4 linked regions of the Arabidopsis thaliana genome follow. The protein of the gene in region 3 purifies or fractionates together with the protein of the main gene of each other region. This does not show direct contact. Each region holds a gene or a part of one and is shown on either strand. Other genes may lie near its edges.

Evidence for each region.
Region 1: the proteins of SmD3 (region 3) and SNRNP-G fractionate together in Arabidopsis thaliana (co-fractionation; one large-scale study listed by BioGRID). This does not show direct contact.
Region 2: the proteins of SmD3 (region 3) and AT3G11500 fractionate together in Arabidopsis thaliana (co-fractionation; one large-scale study listed by BioGRID). This does not show direct contact.
Region 4: the proteins of SmD3 (region 3) and AT3G62840 fractionate together in Arabidopsis thaliana (co-fractionation; one large-scale study listed by BioGRID). This does not show direct contact.

Annotation. Positions count from the first base shown.
Region 1 is NC_003071.7:10,180,328-10,184,018, reverse strand, and holds SNRNP-G (Putative small nuclear ribonucleoprotein G), read right to left. Parts: upstream 1,769-3,691; 5' UTR 1,667-1,768; coding exon 1,632-1,666; intron 1,528-1,631; coding exon 1,505-1,527; exon of another isoform or gene 1,259-1,504; coding exon 1,137-1,258; intron 1,056-1,136; coding exon 993-1,055; 3' UTR 649-992; downstream 1-648. UniProt on the Arabidopsis thaliana protein: Probable common Sm protein, is found in U1 and U2 snRNPs and may be part of the spliceosome.
Region 2 is NC_003074.8:3,620,383-3,624,329, forward strand, and holds AT3G11500 (Small nuclear ribonucleoprotein family protein), read right to left. Parts: upstream 2,225-3,947; 5' UTR 2,093-2,224; coding exon 2,058-2,092; intron 1,923-2,057; coding exon 1,900-1,922; intron 1,514-1,899; coding exon 1,392-1,513; intron 1,304-1,391; coding exon 1,244-1,303; 3' UTR 1,223-1,243; exon of another isoform or gene 951-1,222; intron 743-950; 3' UTR 580-742; downstream 1-579. Other genes in the region: AT3G11510 (Ribosomal protein S11 family protein), read right to left, coding at 3,375-3,442, 3,538-3,667, 3,750-3,835, 3,933-3,947.
Region 3 is NC_003070.9:28,624,066-28,627,982, reverse strand, and holds SmD3 (snRNP core protein SMD3), read right to left. Parts: upstream 2,113-3,917; 5' UTR 2,027-2,112; coding exon 1,868-2,026; intron 1,449-1,867; coding exon 1,396-1,448; intron 1,276-1,395; coding exon 1,215-1,275; intron 1,122-1,214; coding exon 1,065-1,121; intron 960-1,064; coding exon 903-959; 3' UTR 575-902; downstream 1-574. Other genes in the region: AT1G76290 (AMP-dependent synthetase and ligase family protein), read left to right, coding at 2,575-2,772, 2,843-3,559, 3,737-3,917. UniProt on the Arabidopsis thaliana protein: Core component of the spliceosomal U1, U2, U4 and U5 small nuclear ribonucleoproteins (snRNPs), the building blocks of the spliceosome. May play a minor role in the splicing of cellular pre-mRNAs.
Region 4 is NC_003074.8:23,234,932-23,238,979, forward strand, and holds AT3G62840 (Small nuclear ribonucleoprotein family protein), read right to left. Parts: upstream 1,886-4,048; 5' UTR 1,807-1,885; intron 1,726-1,806; 5' UTR 1,685-1,725; coding exon 1,680-1,684; intron 1,582-1,679; coding exon 1,557-1,581; intron 1,184-1,556; coding exon 1,001-1,183; intron 913-1,000; coding exon 796-912; 3' UTR 559-795; downstream 1-558. Other genes in the region: AUD1 (NAD(P)-binding Rossmann-fold superfamily protein), read left to right, coding at 1-90, 183-422; AT3G62850 (zinc finger protein-like protein), read right to left, coding at 2,556-3,049, 3,126-3,426, 3,514-3,884, 3,972-4,048.

The sequences.
Region 1 (3,691 bases), on a different chromosome or scaffold from region 3:
GGAAAGTTGTTTTGAGGGATCCTTAACAAGAAGCTGCAAATAATGAATATCCCGAATTCTCAATGCAAAAACACTTTAACCATATATACCTCATGATCACAAATTATTAAGTTTGATGTCTCCGTGAATCACACATTTTCCATGACAATAGGCCAGTGCCTGACTAAGACTTGCAATGTACTGAAATCAAGGAAAAGCCATCAGCTTCACCACAAGAAGCATGATAATCTTTCAGGGAGAGGGAGGGAGAGGGAGCGAGAGAGAGACACTCACAGTGGCGGCTTGTTGGTTTCGTAGAATTCGCTTGTCCGCTTTACTTTTGGCGCTTTGGGAAAGATCGTAAAATTTAGGTTATGTGCTTGACAGTGACACAATCACATTTTCAAGTTTTGATACACATTCTGTTTCAAGTTCAGTAAACTTTGTGTCAACATGGTTGAAATCGATGTCGTCCTAATCGCTCATGATAAATGGGAGCCTCTCGGCAATGAACTCAACATGTAAGACTTGTTTATGTTCTTTGCATTTTACATTGTCTGCATTTTTTGTCTTCTTTAAAGTCTCATTCATTACAAAAAGAGAAAAAGAGCAACTAAGCATTAACAGAAGGGATGAAGATATAAGATCAAAGCAGTGGATCCAGAGTAAAAGCACAAGAATATTGATGTGGACTTCTTGATCAATTTATAATAACTGCAAATCTACCATCAAGTTTCCTCAGAACTAATGCTTAGTACCAAAACAAAGATGACTATGGATGCATAAACCAAGCTAAGAAGATGACTAATAGAGGTTTGAGCATTGTATCAAGAGTGAAAAGTACAAGCCATCACATTCATCGGTGGGGGTTCATTGCAATCTTTTTAGTACAAGAAAAGAGTATTCATGTAGACTTCTTACAGAATCAATTCATCGTAACTGCGAATCTACCACCAAGATTTCTCATAGCTAGTGCTTAGTACAAAAAGATCATAACCAATGAATATAACGAGCTAAGAAGATCTGCCCACTGGTTCAAGAGCTTCAACAGTGACAATGCTGTTTCCTCTAATCACCTGCTCCCAAAACCAAAGTAAAACATCAGTCAAGAGCAGCAGAAGATTAACGACAAAGGGACACAGAATCGAGAGACTTACCACCATCCCGATGTCGGTTTTGTCGTTACCGTTCACCTCAACAGTGTTATCCACAACAAGATTCATGAACTGATCAAACCCACGAAGAGTTCCAGTAACCATTCGGTTAGCATTAAGCTTGACTGCATTTCAAATACAATTCATCAATCTCAACACATCAAGAAAAAATCCACTCTTTGCTAAAATCAAAACACAATCACCAAAAAAAAACTACTTTGAGTTCGATTCTAGACACTATAACTAAAATCAGTAATACCAAATCCAGTTCGATTCACAGAATAAAGTTGCAATCACATCTCAGCTAATGTGTTATACAAAACTGAAGTTCCCTAACTATCGATAAAAGAAGATGAAGATATTGAACTTACTTTGGAGCTTCTTATCCATGTACCTGCATCGAACGAAACAAAAACAAACAACAGATTAAGCACAAAAATTAAATCAGAAACACGAAGATATAGAAACAGAAAGAGAGAAATAAGAACAAGGGCTTACTTCTTAAGATCCGGAGGCTGACCTGAACGACTCATAGTTGCAAAATCGGAATTGAGCTTAGGGTTTTCGCTCTCGGCTTGAAGAAGACAGAGTTTGCTCTGAAACCCTAAAGTTTTGATTTTTGGAAGTCTAGTGTTAGCGTCTTCTTGTTTTTTACTACTCCTTTAAGCCCAATAATCTACTCAGGCCCAATAAACTATAAGGCCCAACTCATATGACTATTGACATGTTTCGTCGAAGTGTATTTTTTTTTTTTTTTTTAAGTGATTTTCCTTTTTCGTCGAAGTGTATTCTCTAGACGCTATTAATCTGATGTAATATCTTACAATCGTCTAACCAATTAATTAAATATTTTTGTTGTGGTCTAACCAATTGATCAAATATTTAGCGTCTAACCAATTGATCAAATATTTTTGATTTCACCAATCGATAAATTTTAAAAGTTACACTAAAATTTCACCACAACATCAAAAATGATAAGAAAAAAATTAAAATGACGAAGACATTTTTATGTCATTGTAGTTCTAATGCGGCCAATTGTTCGAATTGTTTCTATCGAATGATATTACATATACCATTTTGTTTTTCAGCATTACATATACAATTTTTCTGCCACCAATATGCATTATAATGAATTTAATTTAGGTAATAAGTGGTAAGTGGTGACACATCTATTATACTCACTAATTTTATATTTTATCTACATATACTATATTTAGACTAACAAAATTATAAATTTCACAAGGTTAAATTTTTTTCTTTATATATATATATTATTTAAACATAATGCATTATCATTTTTCTCTTATTATATTTTTAATTGAAAAATGATAAATATTTCTCTAAATTTTTCTACCTTTACATCTCATAAGCTTTATGCTTTTCTAGATTGTTGAGAGAGAGACAAAGAAATACTCTGGTGATGTAGCAATAGCAGTCTATGTTGATCGTTGTGTAATCGTGAGCTTACTTTGAGCGAACGATTTGCATTTCAGATTGTTTAGTATTTCTCTAATAATCAATTGATTTTTCTCGCGATTTACTTTATAAGTTTCAATTTGTGTTTCCTATTTACAAATTTAGCTCGGGATAACAACAATATATCAGTCCAAAATAAAAATTTCTCCACTGTAATACTTGAATGTACAGATATACCATGCCACAAGCTCTCAATTTCTAATACCGATTCATCGACAACAAAATAAATATAAATAAACGATTAATATAAAATTGGTTGATGTAAAACACTGAAACCTATTAATAATAAGTTGTGTATGAGAATGTATCGACTAGTTTTGAAAAGAAATGGAGTAAGAGCCGGTGTTGGGATCTTCACAGCCTTGAAGTTGTCTACACTCATCCCACATCGACCAAATATCGAGTTTCCCATCTCCTTTAGTTTTGCTCTTAAAACACCACCAAAACATATTATCTCATATGATCAAAAGTGTGGTTCAAGACTTTAAAATTTCAATATACTGTTAATAATACTTTTATTTTACGATAATTGGCTCCACTTTTTTTTTTAATAATCTTAAATTATTTTGTTTGAGTTTTGACCCCAAAATTTTATAGCCGGTCCTGCCAAAGACATTAAAATTTTAGTGTCCTTGAAACGTTGGTCCAGCAGAGGCAATTCAACATCATCCTCGCATATGGCAACAACCCATCTTGATCTATATCATGCAAATTTAAAGAACGTCCCATAGAAGAAACTTCATGATGGACATACCAAGAAGACAAAACCTTGATCTTTTTTGAGAAGACCGAACCTTAAATTTTATTTTTGTAGTTTCTTTTGGATCGTATTGCATTATTTATGTTGTATTAATAAATCGTGGATGCATTTGAGATTTTGATTTTGTTAATGACTGACTTTTAACTCTCAAACTTGCAAATCCTGCTTCATTTTCTGATGTCTAAAACGTGAATATTGATTTTGCTGTTAAAAAAAAATACAAAAAAAACTAAGCTATATACTTTAAATCCTGCTTCACAATCCTGATTTTGTATGTCTCTGAATTGTTTGTGTGATTTTATCATGTCTAACATCACAGCTT
Region 2 (3,947 bases), on a different chromosome or scaffold from region 3:
ATTGTGACAAACAAAAATGAGATTGATATTGTAAAATCAAATTTGAAAGAAATAAAAAAAAGGATGGTGAAGTTCATTGAACAGCTTGCATCTAAAGTGAATCTTTTAGTTACTTGCAAATGGTCCATGAGAATAATATACGAAGATGGTTAACATTTTTATGTAATATTTGTTTACCGTTAGAATTTAGAAAGAAGCAATCTCTCGTACTCTTTCTATTCTCTTCCCCAAAAACCAAAGAGAAAAGAATAAAAGAGAAAGTGAAGTTGGTGAAAGTTCTTTTTGGATTAGTTGTAAATCCATGTGTTTAAAATTCGTTTACTTGTTATATTAGTTGGAGATCCCCGACCACGAAATGTTAAAAAACACATCAAATTGTATAATGACTTGGACAGAAAATAATTTAGAATTTATAGACAAAACACAAATACCTACTTTTCTACCAAAAAAGGCATTTCAACTCATAGTTTTGTGGTTGATAATACTTGATATGAATGTAAGTTGGAACAAAGCCCACCCCACGTGTGTGCCGACGACGACCCACGTGCCGAACATTCCGTTGTGGTTACATGTTGTTGTTGTTGCTGTTTCATTGGAGATTGATAGATATTGTACCGATTTCATTCATTTTGCCTCACACACAATACTTCGTGGGGCACATGCTTCCTTGATTCCTTCCACTTTCACTTCTCTTATTTCTCCTTTTCTTTCTTTTAGCTTCTTCTTATTCATATAACAACATCTTTAATAGTAACAGAGGAGCCAAACGGCATGATTATGATCTCACTTTGATAAAAAGAGGGCTAAAAAAGGGTTTAAAATACTAATAAAGCAAAAGAAAAACAACCGTTGGAGCTCATTTACCCAAAATTCAGATCCCCACAACAAAAGTATTTTGCTTTCTCTAAGGTTTGGACCATTCAAAATTAGCTTTTTCATTACTACATTGATTTCTCTAACTTGAAATGATTATATAACTTATACCTGACTAACACATATGATAAGAGATTATAACACAAGGACAGTAAGTATCCAAATTTCCTTGTATCCATCAAATCAAGGGTTCAGAAAAATCTATAGGGAACAAACAGGACCGAACAAGGGTAAAATGACATAAGTAGAGGAGCCAAAGAAGAGGAATTCATCAAATAAAATCAAGATTGATTCATGCCGGTACAGAGAGCAAAGTAAGTCAAAGTCTCATATTACAGAAGATGATTACTTGGGGGTGAAAAGTCATAAGCTAAGATCTTCCAACTGGTTCGAGAGCTTCAACAGTAACAATGCTGTTTCCTCTTATCACCTGCATCCAGGAAAAAAGTAGAATGTTTAAACAAAACAAATGACAAGAAGATTCTGTGGGTGAGTTAGAGAGATGGAGAGAAACGTACCACCATCCCAATGTCAGTTTTGTCATCACCATTGACTTCAACAGTGTTATCCACAACAAGATTCATGAACTGATCAAAGCCACGGAGAGTTCCAACAACCATTCTGTTGGCATTAAGCTTAACTACATTGGGGGTAACAACAAAAAAAAGCAGACAAGAACTTCACTTGACCATACCAAGTTACAAAAACATGATAACAAACAAAGTCTAGTAAAATTCTAAATGAACGAGATACAAAACCTAAGAATCCATACAACTCTTAACTTTATGTGACATTGATATATTCTTAACCAAGATTAGCATTGAATCTATATATTGGAATTGTAAACACAAGTTTAATTAGTACACAAAAACACGCAATCCCAAGTAATACATGAACTGAAATGGCATTAATATAGCTCTTAAGTTGAGAAATCGGGTTGCAAGCAATTCTCATCTGAGTAAGAGATTTAGGTTCGACTTAAAGACGCTTTAAAATTGAAAAAGTGGAAGAAGAGATCGAGCTTACTTTGGAGTTTCTTGTCCATGTACCTGCATTACATGAAACAAACGAAGAACAAAATCAGAAACACGAAGAAGTAGGAGCTCTATGAAACCAAAAACTTCAACTAAATGGATACAGAGAAATTAGAAATCAAAAGGAAAAAAGTGGCGAAGAGAACTTACTTCTTGAGATCTGGAGGCTGACCTGATCGACTCATACTTGCAGAATCGGAGAAGACGAAAAACGAGAGCTTAGGGTTTTTCTCAGCTACGAACACTTTACTCGATTGATTCCAGTCTCCAGAGCGAAAGAGAAAGAAAAAAAATGACGTCGGTCTGCAAAACTAGAGTGGTCGAAGCACCGTCGTTTCAAGCCCATTGTTAATGGGTTTGACCGCAAAAAAAGCCTTTCACATGTTTCAAAACATAAAAGTAGGGGTGTTCCGAGAATCGAACTCGGGACCTCTCGCACCCGAAGCGAGAATCATACCACTAGACCAAACACCCGGTGTTACTAATTAGAGATATTTAGTCATTTATATTACTAAATTATTTATAACAATTTATCTTGAATTGTGATTACCCATCCAAAATTATCTGAATTACATGTAGTCAAAAGCCATAAAACTAAAAGAAAGATACCCACTGCATCAATTAATTACCAAACCTTTCTCCTTACTAGGAAATATTGCCTGTGATATGGCTCCTCATAGAGACTAAAGAACATAAAAGAGCATTCTTTAAACATCCATGTTGTTTATGTCTTCGATAACAACCAAGAGCATCAAGAAATGAGGATATGATGAGTTTTAAGTCATTGCAAGAGGCTATAAGTGGGGTCTGATGCTTATAATGCACTAACAGCTCAGGGCTAATAAGAAATATATGATCATAATCTGCTAATCTGTTTTCTTTTTCTTGCAAGAGATGCCATTCAACACAATCTAAGCGATAACATTCTAATCAAGAATTCCAAAAGCCGGACTTGGGATATTTGATGTCTTTATCATACAATCTCTCGTATAGTTGTTAATTGCATTCACCACATGCCACAAATCAACTCTTTTCATTCTTAAAATTGACTTTTTTGGTTGAATAATTGGGCCTCAAAAACAGATTATGACAAGTTAACAACGATCTGGCTTGGTTTGATTTCGGAACCAGCACGACATACTAAAACTTGCATCGGACTTTCTAATCTGATTCTGATGAGCAACCATAGCATTAAATATCTCGATAAAGTATCCATTCGCCAAAGTTAAAAAGAGAGAAAATGTAAAATATCAATAAGCCAACTAACAGTAACACGACGCGATCAGTAACTTAACATTTTTTTTCTCAATACCAAAAACTCCAAATACAAAAAAACACAGCTTATAATGTTCTCAAAGCAACTGGAAAGATAAATTGGAGAGAGACAAAACTAACTTCGAAGTGTACCCAAGAAAATACCCACAGTCTCAAGAGCACATTGCAACGATGATGAGCCTCATCGTGCAATCAGAGTCTTCTTCCTCTTCGTCCACCCTTTCGGCGTGTACTGTCTGTGGGAATCGGAGTCACATCCTCTGCAAAATGCATTCAAGAAAGATTCAGCTTCCAATGAGCAATCATAACAAAACAAAACAAAACAACTTGAGTGAGACTAAGTTTGTGTGTTTACCAATACGACCAATCTTCATGCCAGAACGAGCAAGGGCTCTAAGAGCAGACTGAGCACCAGGACCTGGAGTCTTGGTTTTGTTTCCTCCAGTAGCACGGAGCTTCACGTGCATGGCAGTGATGCCAAGCTCCTGTCACATAAACCATTATAGATTATCATCCAGAACCTCAAAGTCAATTAAAAAAAGGCATGGACATCGAATCATTTCAGACCTTGCATCTTTGAGCAACATCTTGAGCTGCAAGCATAGCAGCATAAGGAGAGGACTCATCACGGTCAGCCTTCACCTTCATGCCACCTGCAAAAGGTCACATAATCATTATATTTCTCGAAATATAAATGAATTTTACACTAACATAAACACAGGTAATAAAATTCACTACTAGGAAACATACCGGTGATGCGGACGA
Region 3 (3,917 bases):
AGAGAGCAACATAAGTTGCATCATATGGGGGGGAAGTTTCTGAACACGTACGTATCTCTGTGTGGGTTCACTTGTTTGTTTTCGAAATATCTGTGGATGGTTTAGTCTTCTCATTTTCGTTGATAAGAGAATAACAGAAAGCGTTTTTTAAAACTCTTAACTTTTTAGGGTTCTTCATTTCAACATATTTTTCCGCTCTTCTTTCCAAATGTCCAAGTCATATCTTATCACTCACAATCACAAGTTCACAACATTTGTCGCGAAAATAAATTAGGCTTCTGGTTTTGTGGACATAATCACTTTGATCTCTTGACTTGGTCGTTCAAGTCGCTAAATTTCTTGAAAAAAACAAGAACCAGTCGATTTTACAACTACCTATGCTGAAGCCGCTCGGGCCGCGGTCCAGTCATGGTGGCCGAAACTAAACCATGAAATCGCGGTTGCCGCTTTTTACCATTACCTATGTCGAATGTTTTATTTCCTACTACAACTCAAGTGTCTTCTCCGTTTTTATCCGACCATCTTTATCAGATTAATAAACGAATGAATATAATAAATGGATAAAAACGACCGCTTTTAGAAAACCATCATTTTATGATTTCTGATTTCTACCAAGATTAAAAAGACGAATCATTCATTATAGAAATTTGAATCGTGCTATATTATACATAAGATGTGGGAAGTCTCTCAATGACCACATTAACAAAACATGTCAATTTTTCAAACATCTTAGTAACCCAAAACACAGAACTAGTTCCTCTTTCTCTCTTCCCTCCATGTCTTAGAGATTTTACTTGCTGTGTACCTTAAATGCATAAGTGACGAGCTGAAGATGGCGGATTCTCATGGATACTGCAGAGAATGTCTCACGAGCCGAAGCTACATTACGAGGGTTAACTAAACTATCTCCTCACAGGTGGCACAGCCCCTCTTCCTCCTCCTGTTCCACGCCCAGTACCCTGAGTATGACATCACAAAATTCAATTAGTTGCTTTGAATTGTCAACATTGTCTTCTTGAGATGTAAATCAGAAACATTAAGGACTTAGGCAAAGGTGAACTTACTTTGGCTCGCATTGCAGCACCTCTACCTCTGCCTACACCTAGTGAAGCGCTCTTTCCCTGTATTGATCAAGTAAACAAGATGTTTATTAGCTTCCATGTTTATAAAGCATAGATGGGATTGATATTCTCCATCACGTTCAAGAAGTTTACCTTGCCCCTAACATCCTTGAACATTGGAGCATTCTTTAACATGTCTGGTATGACTAAAAACCTGTCAAGATTTTACAAAATGTCACATAACAGTCAGCTAAGTTGAAAAAGAATACTCCAACAAAAGTAAATAAGTAGGAAACAAGCAGAGATGTCAAAAGGAGTTTATATCTAGCAGCACCTGACTAAGCTGCCTCGAATGAAGACATGCTCAAGCTGTGATACCTTACCATCCTGTTCCATAAAGAGCCCAAACGAAAGTTTAGTAACAATCATGAATAGAAGATACTAAATTTCTAATCACAATCTACAAATGTGTAAGAGCATATATCTGTAGTAACAATTCAAGATCAATTATATAGTCTTGTAATTTGTTTAATCGCAAACATGTCATGATTCTACATAGTAACAACATAAGCAAGACCTGTAATAACATTTCTTCTCTACTACTAGCATATACAGGAACTAAACCCAATCACTACTAGGAACACAATTTAAGGGTCAAGAATTTCACAAGGATTCTCAATTCTCCTCCAAAATTGAACTACTCTCAACATCACAAGAAAGAGACAACCTAAGAAGCTAAACTGTTCACAGCTCCTACATAGGCAATGGCCAAGAAACGAAACCCTAGTAACTTAGTAAGACATTACCTTGGCCGTATAGGTGATGTTCTCGAGCTGACAGTTCCAATTATCCTCACACTCGATCATGCTTCCTCTGTAAAGCTCACCGCTCTTCATCTCTACACTCACGATATGACCGGACGATTCGTGAAGAAGCTTCACCGGAATCCCCAAACTCCGACTCATCTTCGTCGATTCACTAAACCCTAATTGAACCTTCCCTTTTCCTTTTTAGCAGCCAAAAAGCTTTGAACAATTTAGCTTCTCTCGTTAAAGCTCCACACTCTTATGGACTTCTTATTTAGATTTTGGATCGGCCCATTAGTTTATTGGGCCCATTAGTTGAATGTTGTGTGCCTTTTTTGTTACTTTGTTTTTACTCTTAAGTTTTATTAGTATAAGATAAGATAAGATTTGTTTAGTTGACCCAAAAAAATAAAAAGATAAGAACTGTTTGTAAATTAAAGCTCCTCTACACTTGTGACAACTAGCCGAGTGGTGATTAGATTCAAAAAAAAAAGTTGTGACAACTCAGATTCTCTAAACAGATGTTGCAATGTACAAATCTTCTTCACAGATTCTGATTTAATTGCCAATTTGGCTTCTTGTAGTCCATATTAATCAAAGATTCCATATTAATTGTTTGGAGCGTTACACAAAATAGTTTGCCTATAAATACTCCACAATTTTTATATGATTTTAGTAGCTCAATAGAGAATAACAATAGAAAAGAAATGGAAGGAACAATGAGGTGCTCAGCGAATTACGTCCCGCTTTCTCCGATCAGCTTTCTCGAGAGAGCTGCTGTCGTCTTCGGCTCCAGAACCTCTGTCGTGTATGGTGATATTCAGTACACGTGGCACCAAACACGTGACCGTTGCGTCCGCCTTGCATCTGCTCTCTCTGACCTTGGTCTCTCTCGCCATGACGTTGTAAGTGGTTAAACGACTTTTATATATTGGTCATACTTTTTTCTTTTGTTTAAACTATTTCTTTTATCAGGTGGCTGCTTTAGCGCCAAATGTTCCTGCGTTATGCGAGCTTTATTTTGGAGCTCCGATGGCTGGAGCAGTACTTTGCGTGTTGAACACGACATTCGATTCTCAGATGCTTGCGATGGCGCTGGAGAAAACGAAGCCAAAAGTATTCTTCGTTGACTCTGAGTTCCTCTCTGTCGCTGAAGAATCTCTCAGTCTCCTCTCAAACATTGAAGAAAAACCTCTCATCATCACAATCACAGAAAATCCAACAGAGCAATCAAAATATGAACAATACGAGGATTTTCTCTCCACTGGAAACCCTAATTTCAAACCAATACGACCAGTTGACGAATGTGATCCAATCGCCCTCAACTTCACATCTGGAACCACATCGACTCCCAAATGTGTCGTCTATAGTCATCGCGGTGCCTATCTGAACGCAACTGCTGTTGGTGTTATGAATGAGATGAAACCAATGCCGGTTTATCTATGTACAGTTCCTATGTATCATTGTAGCGGGTGGTGCTATATTTGGACAGTTACGGCTTTTGGAGGAGTCATCGTCTGTCTCAGGGAAGTCAACGACGAAGTTATATTTGATAGTATCGTGAAGCACAAGGTAACTAACTTTGGTGGCTCGCCTCCGGTTCTCAACATGATTGCTAATGCAAGAGACTCGGTCAAGAAGTCGTTTCCATGGACCGTACAGGTTATGAGCGGAGGATCCTCTCCTCCTGAGGTAAAACTAACTATCACAGAGTTTTGAATTACATGTTTGTTCAATCAGGCTTATTTGGTTGAACTTCCATATTTTGAGGTTATATATAATCAATCCCTTGCTTTATACGTTAGCTCCGTCACAGTACATTAATATTTAACATAGAATCATAGTAAAGATATTAATTTATTTGGACAGGTCATGTTGAAACTCAAGAAGCTAGGATTCAAAGTGATGATGGCTTATGGATGCTCGGAGGTGTATGGACTAGGAACAGCTTGTTTGTGGATGCCCGAGTGGGAGACTCTACCTGAAGAGGAGAGTTTAAGGCTCAAGGCAAGAGATGGTCTCAACCATTTCGCCAAGGAAGCTGTCGATG
Region 4 (4,048 bases), on a different chromosome or scaffold from region 3:
GAAGGTTTGATGAGACTGATGGAAGGAGAACATGTCGGCCCATTCAACCTCGGTAACCCTGGTGAATTCACGATGCTCGAGCTCGCTAAGGTCTCTCTCTCTCTCTCTCTATACATACCTTTCGATTTTTATATATGACCCTGGGTTCTGATAATTGTGATTTGGTTGGTTTTTGTTTGAAGGTGGTCCAAGAGACAATTGATCCGAATGCAAACATAGAGTTCAGACCAAACACAGAAGACGACCCTCACAAGAGAAAGCCTGACATCACAAAGGCCAAAGAGCTTTTAGGTTGGGAACCAAAGGTCTCTCTTCGTCAGGGACTGCCTCTCATGGTCAAAGATTTCCGTCAACGTGTCTTTGGTGACCAGAAGGAAGGCTCCTCCGCAGCTGCAACCACCACCAAGACAACTTCAGCTTGAGCAAATGCAGAATCTGAGTAGCAGCCACTGCGGCTGGTAGTGGGTTTATAACAAAATTGCAAGAGCGTCGTTTCTTTAAATTTATTTCGCTTTTGATTTCTGTTTTGATAATCGTGTAAACGTAGAGTAAGAATTTGGTACCTTTACTTACTACTATTCATGGACCTCACTACAGTTTTAAAAGAAAAAAGAACTTCTCTTTTGATATTACAAAGTTCACTGGCTGCGTTTCAAGTCAAAGATAGAAGACAAGTGAAAAATACAAGGCAACACTAGTAGATTTAAGGCTCATAATCAAAACATGTTCTCACTGTTGATGCAACAATTAGGATTTGACAAGAAGAAGCGAGAATTATCATAAGAAGAGCTTCTTTCACTTGGGGTTCCTGAGGACGATAATGACTGAGTCTCCACGCAGGAACATCTTGCTGATGAATCGATCTCTGTTAACAGGAAGAGCTTTCTTCTTTCCTTTTCCGGTTTTCGGAACCTAAAAAAAAACACAGAGAACCCATGTAAGAAACAGCACTTGTCTACTAGTAAACCACAGGCAGAAAACAGATACAAAAGATGTTAACCTCAGTCCACATTTCTCTGACATTTTCAAGAACCATGTTGCAGTGCCTGTCAAAAGCCCTAACTCGGCCAAGGAGTTTCCTGTTGTTACGGCAATTGATCAACACCTGAGTGTTATTCTTAACACTCATCATCAAAACAGAGAGTGGTCCAGTGTTGAACTCCTCCTCCTCAGTCTTTCCCTGCTAAAGAATGACATTCAAGGAAGAGTATTAAACAACAATGCATCCAATACAAGATTGCCTTGTTAAGTACTCTCATCCAAAACTAGCAACATTCATTCATATAGCCAAAACTCTAGCTGACCATCTGTGATGAATTCTCAGGACAGTGTTTTCTATTCACTAACACAACTACTTGAAGATACAGAAACCACATGACTTGTAATGGTACATATTCATCAACAAATTACATAAAATGAAGGATCAGGCAACAAAAGATTCCAGGCACTAAAAAGCTAGAGACATAGACATGGTACAGATATCGAATTTAGGGTTCTATGTTTATGCTTGATAGATCGAGAAATCAGTAACGAGAAAGACGGGGAGAGTTACTTACGTTGGTATCCTCTTCCATTGGTTTACTGAAATCGAGAAAAAAAAAAGTGTTAGAGAAGATCTAGAAGAAGAAGAATGATAAAAATTAGAAGACGAAGATGAGAAAACCTAGAACTAGAATTACCTCATGTTCACTTGAAGCTCGATGAAATTCGGCGAAACGGTGGAAGCTGAAAAGGAGGAAAACGATGAATTTAGAAACTATCAAGAGATTTTCATAGAAACGCAGATCGAAGAAATTAGGGTTTTACCTGCTATACGCTAAATCCCGCTTTCGTTTTCCAAAAAGATCTCTCTCACACGAAGAAGAATGATGAGGTGTACTCGAGAAATCAAGTGTAAACAAACTCAGTGGCGGTTTAAGAGGGCTGAATTGAGGCCTATCTAATTATTGGGCCTTAAGATACTAAAGCCCATTAAATATCCTCATATGTTTTTTGTTTATAAATTAAGGCCTAATTGGAATAAATTTCAGTTTAGTTATTATTTTCATAGCCCATTCAAATATTCACAGGAGTACAGAGATTTTGACTTTTCAAAATGGTTTCACCTTTTACATGAAATAAAAATGCTCAGATTCGTGGTTTAGCCTGGTCAGCTCTTCTCATTGGATGGGTTGTTCAAAGTACAAGGTCCCTTTCGTTACATTTCTTAAGTAGGGTTTGAGCAATTTGTAACTTATAAAATGAAGTAACAACTTCCAGGACAGGTTTGAGCTCAACGATTAGTAAGACGTAACTGATTATGAAGATGACCAAAACCCGTCCGGTATGCTTTCCTCATACGTTTGCTCTTTCGAAAATCTTCTAGTACTTGGGTCTACAAGATATATATGTAACTGTTAATAAGAAGAAATCCCATGTTTGAAAATATTTAATCAATCATTAGAAAAACTTGCCTTCTGATATTGCTTTCTACAGCGGTTTCTCATTCGAATTCTCTCAGGAAAATAACGCTCCTGCTTGACAACAAATGGAAAGAGTTAAACAGGTTTTGTTGCTCAAATGATGATACAGAGGAGGATGCTTACACACACTGCATGGTCTTCACTTGAGAGATGCGTCCTCAAATCTTCAAGGCTTTTGCAATCACAAAGACACAACATGCAAGAAAACATTTTGGTAGACGGTTCACCCCTTTGACTTTGACTGCACTTGCGAAGAACGTGGTTTCTTGTCTCTGAAACAGAGAGCGTAATTATATAGCTCAGAAACAGAGTCATTAGTGGATGATGATGATAAGGAGAGGAGAAAAAAACACCTGCAACAAGTAAGCTTTTCCAAAGCCACTCTGCAGAAGTGAGCAGGACAGACATTTTGTAAGGCCTGTACGAATAAGCCAGAAAAAGGTTGTACTTCGTCTCTTGTAGTAAGTCGGCGATTAAATTTTCGAACATCATCACCACACCATCGGATATGAGCATGATTGTAGCCGGAGGAGGATTACGAGCTTTCCACTGCTTCATATTTATAAACATGCGACTGTATATGACTTCTGTTTCAGACAGTAACAGAAAAGCATTTCAGTAGAAATTCCAGAGAGATGGATATAATTAACCGAATGGACTAACCGTCGATGGAATGTGCAAGATCGACTCCAGTGGAAGAGAGCTCTCGCAGGATGTGATCAGGGGTTTTGTTGTGGTCGCCACATCCGGTGATGGAGACAGGACCAGAGTAGCCTAGTTTCTTGAACGCCCCTTCTAAACTCGGACGGACCTGACGAGCATCATAACCCTCTGGAATCGGACAGTCCTTCATGTCCCACCACACCACTATTGGAGCTGTCGCGTACTCAGGCTTCGCAGTGTAGTTCTTTGCCCACGTCCTCGTCAAATAGTCAAGTTCTGGATGTATACGGTTTGTAACCTCCTGCGAGAATTTATATTTTAGAGATCAAAATCTATATTTTTATTCAACATTATAGTTGACTGGGTCTAGAGGAGGATGTTTACTTACTTTCACTGCATGCTTTCCACTCGAGACATGCCTCCTGAAACCCTCCACGCTTTGGCCCTGGTAAGAGCAAGATTTGCAATAAAACATGGGAGATACCTCACAACTGCTGCTGCACTTGTCCTGAACAAATTCCCTTTTGGTCTCAAGTAAATTTCTCCAGATCCACTCTCCACAAGGTCTCAGTGCCGAACCTGCGAAAGGCTCAGTTGAATAAGCCAGAAAAAGGTTGTATTTCGTGTGTTGTTGTAGACGGGACAGATCCCAAGCGAAGACATGCTGCCACTGATCGGATACGAGCATCATTGTAGCCGGAGGAGGATTAAGATCTCGCCACTCCAGCATACTCGAATACATGAGTGAGCATCTGCTTTCTGTTGAAATTGACTTGAGATGTTGTTCAAATTTAAACCAAGCTAGCACTAAATTCATTCAAAGAGATCGATAGCAATTGGACTAACCGGGTATGATTTGTGCTACAGCGACTCCGGTGGAAGAGAGCCCTCGCAGGATCTGACAAGGGGTTTCTCTTTGGTCA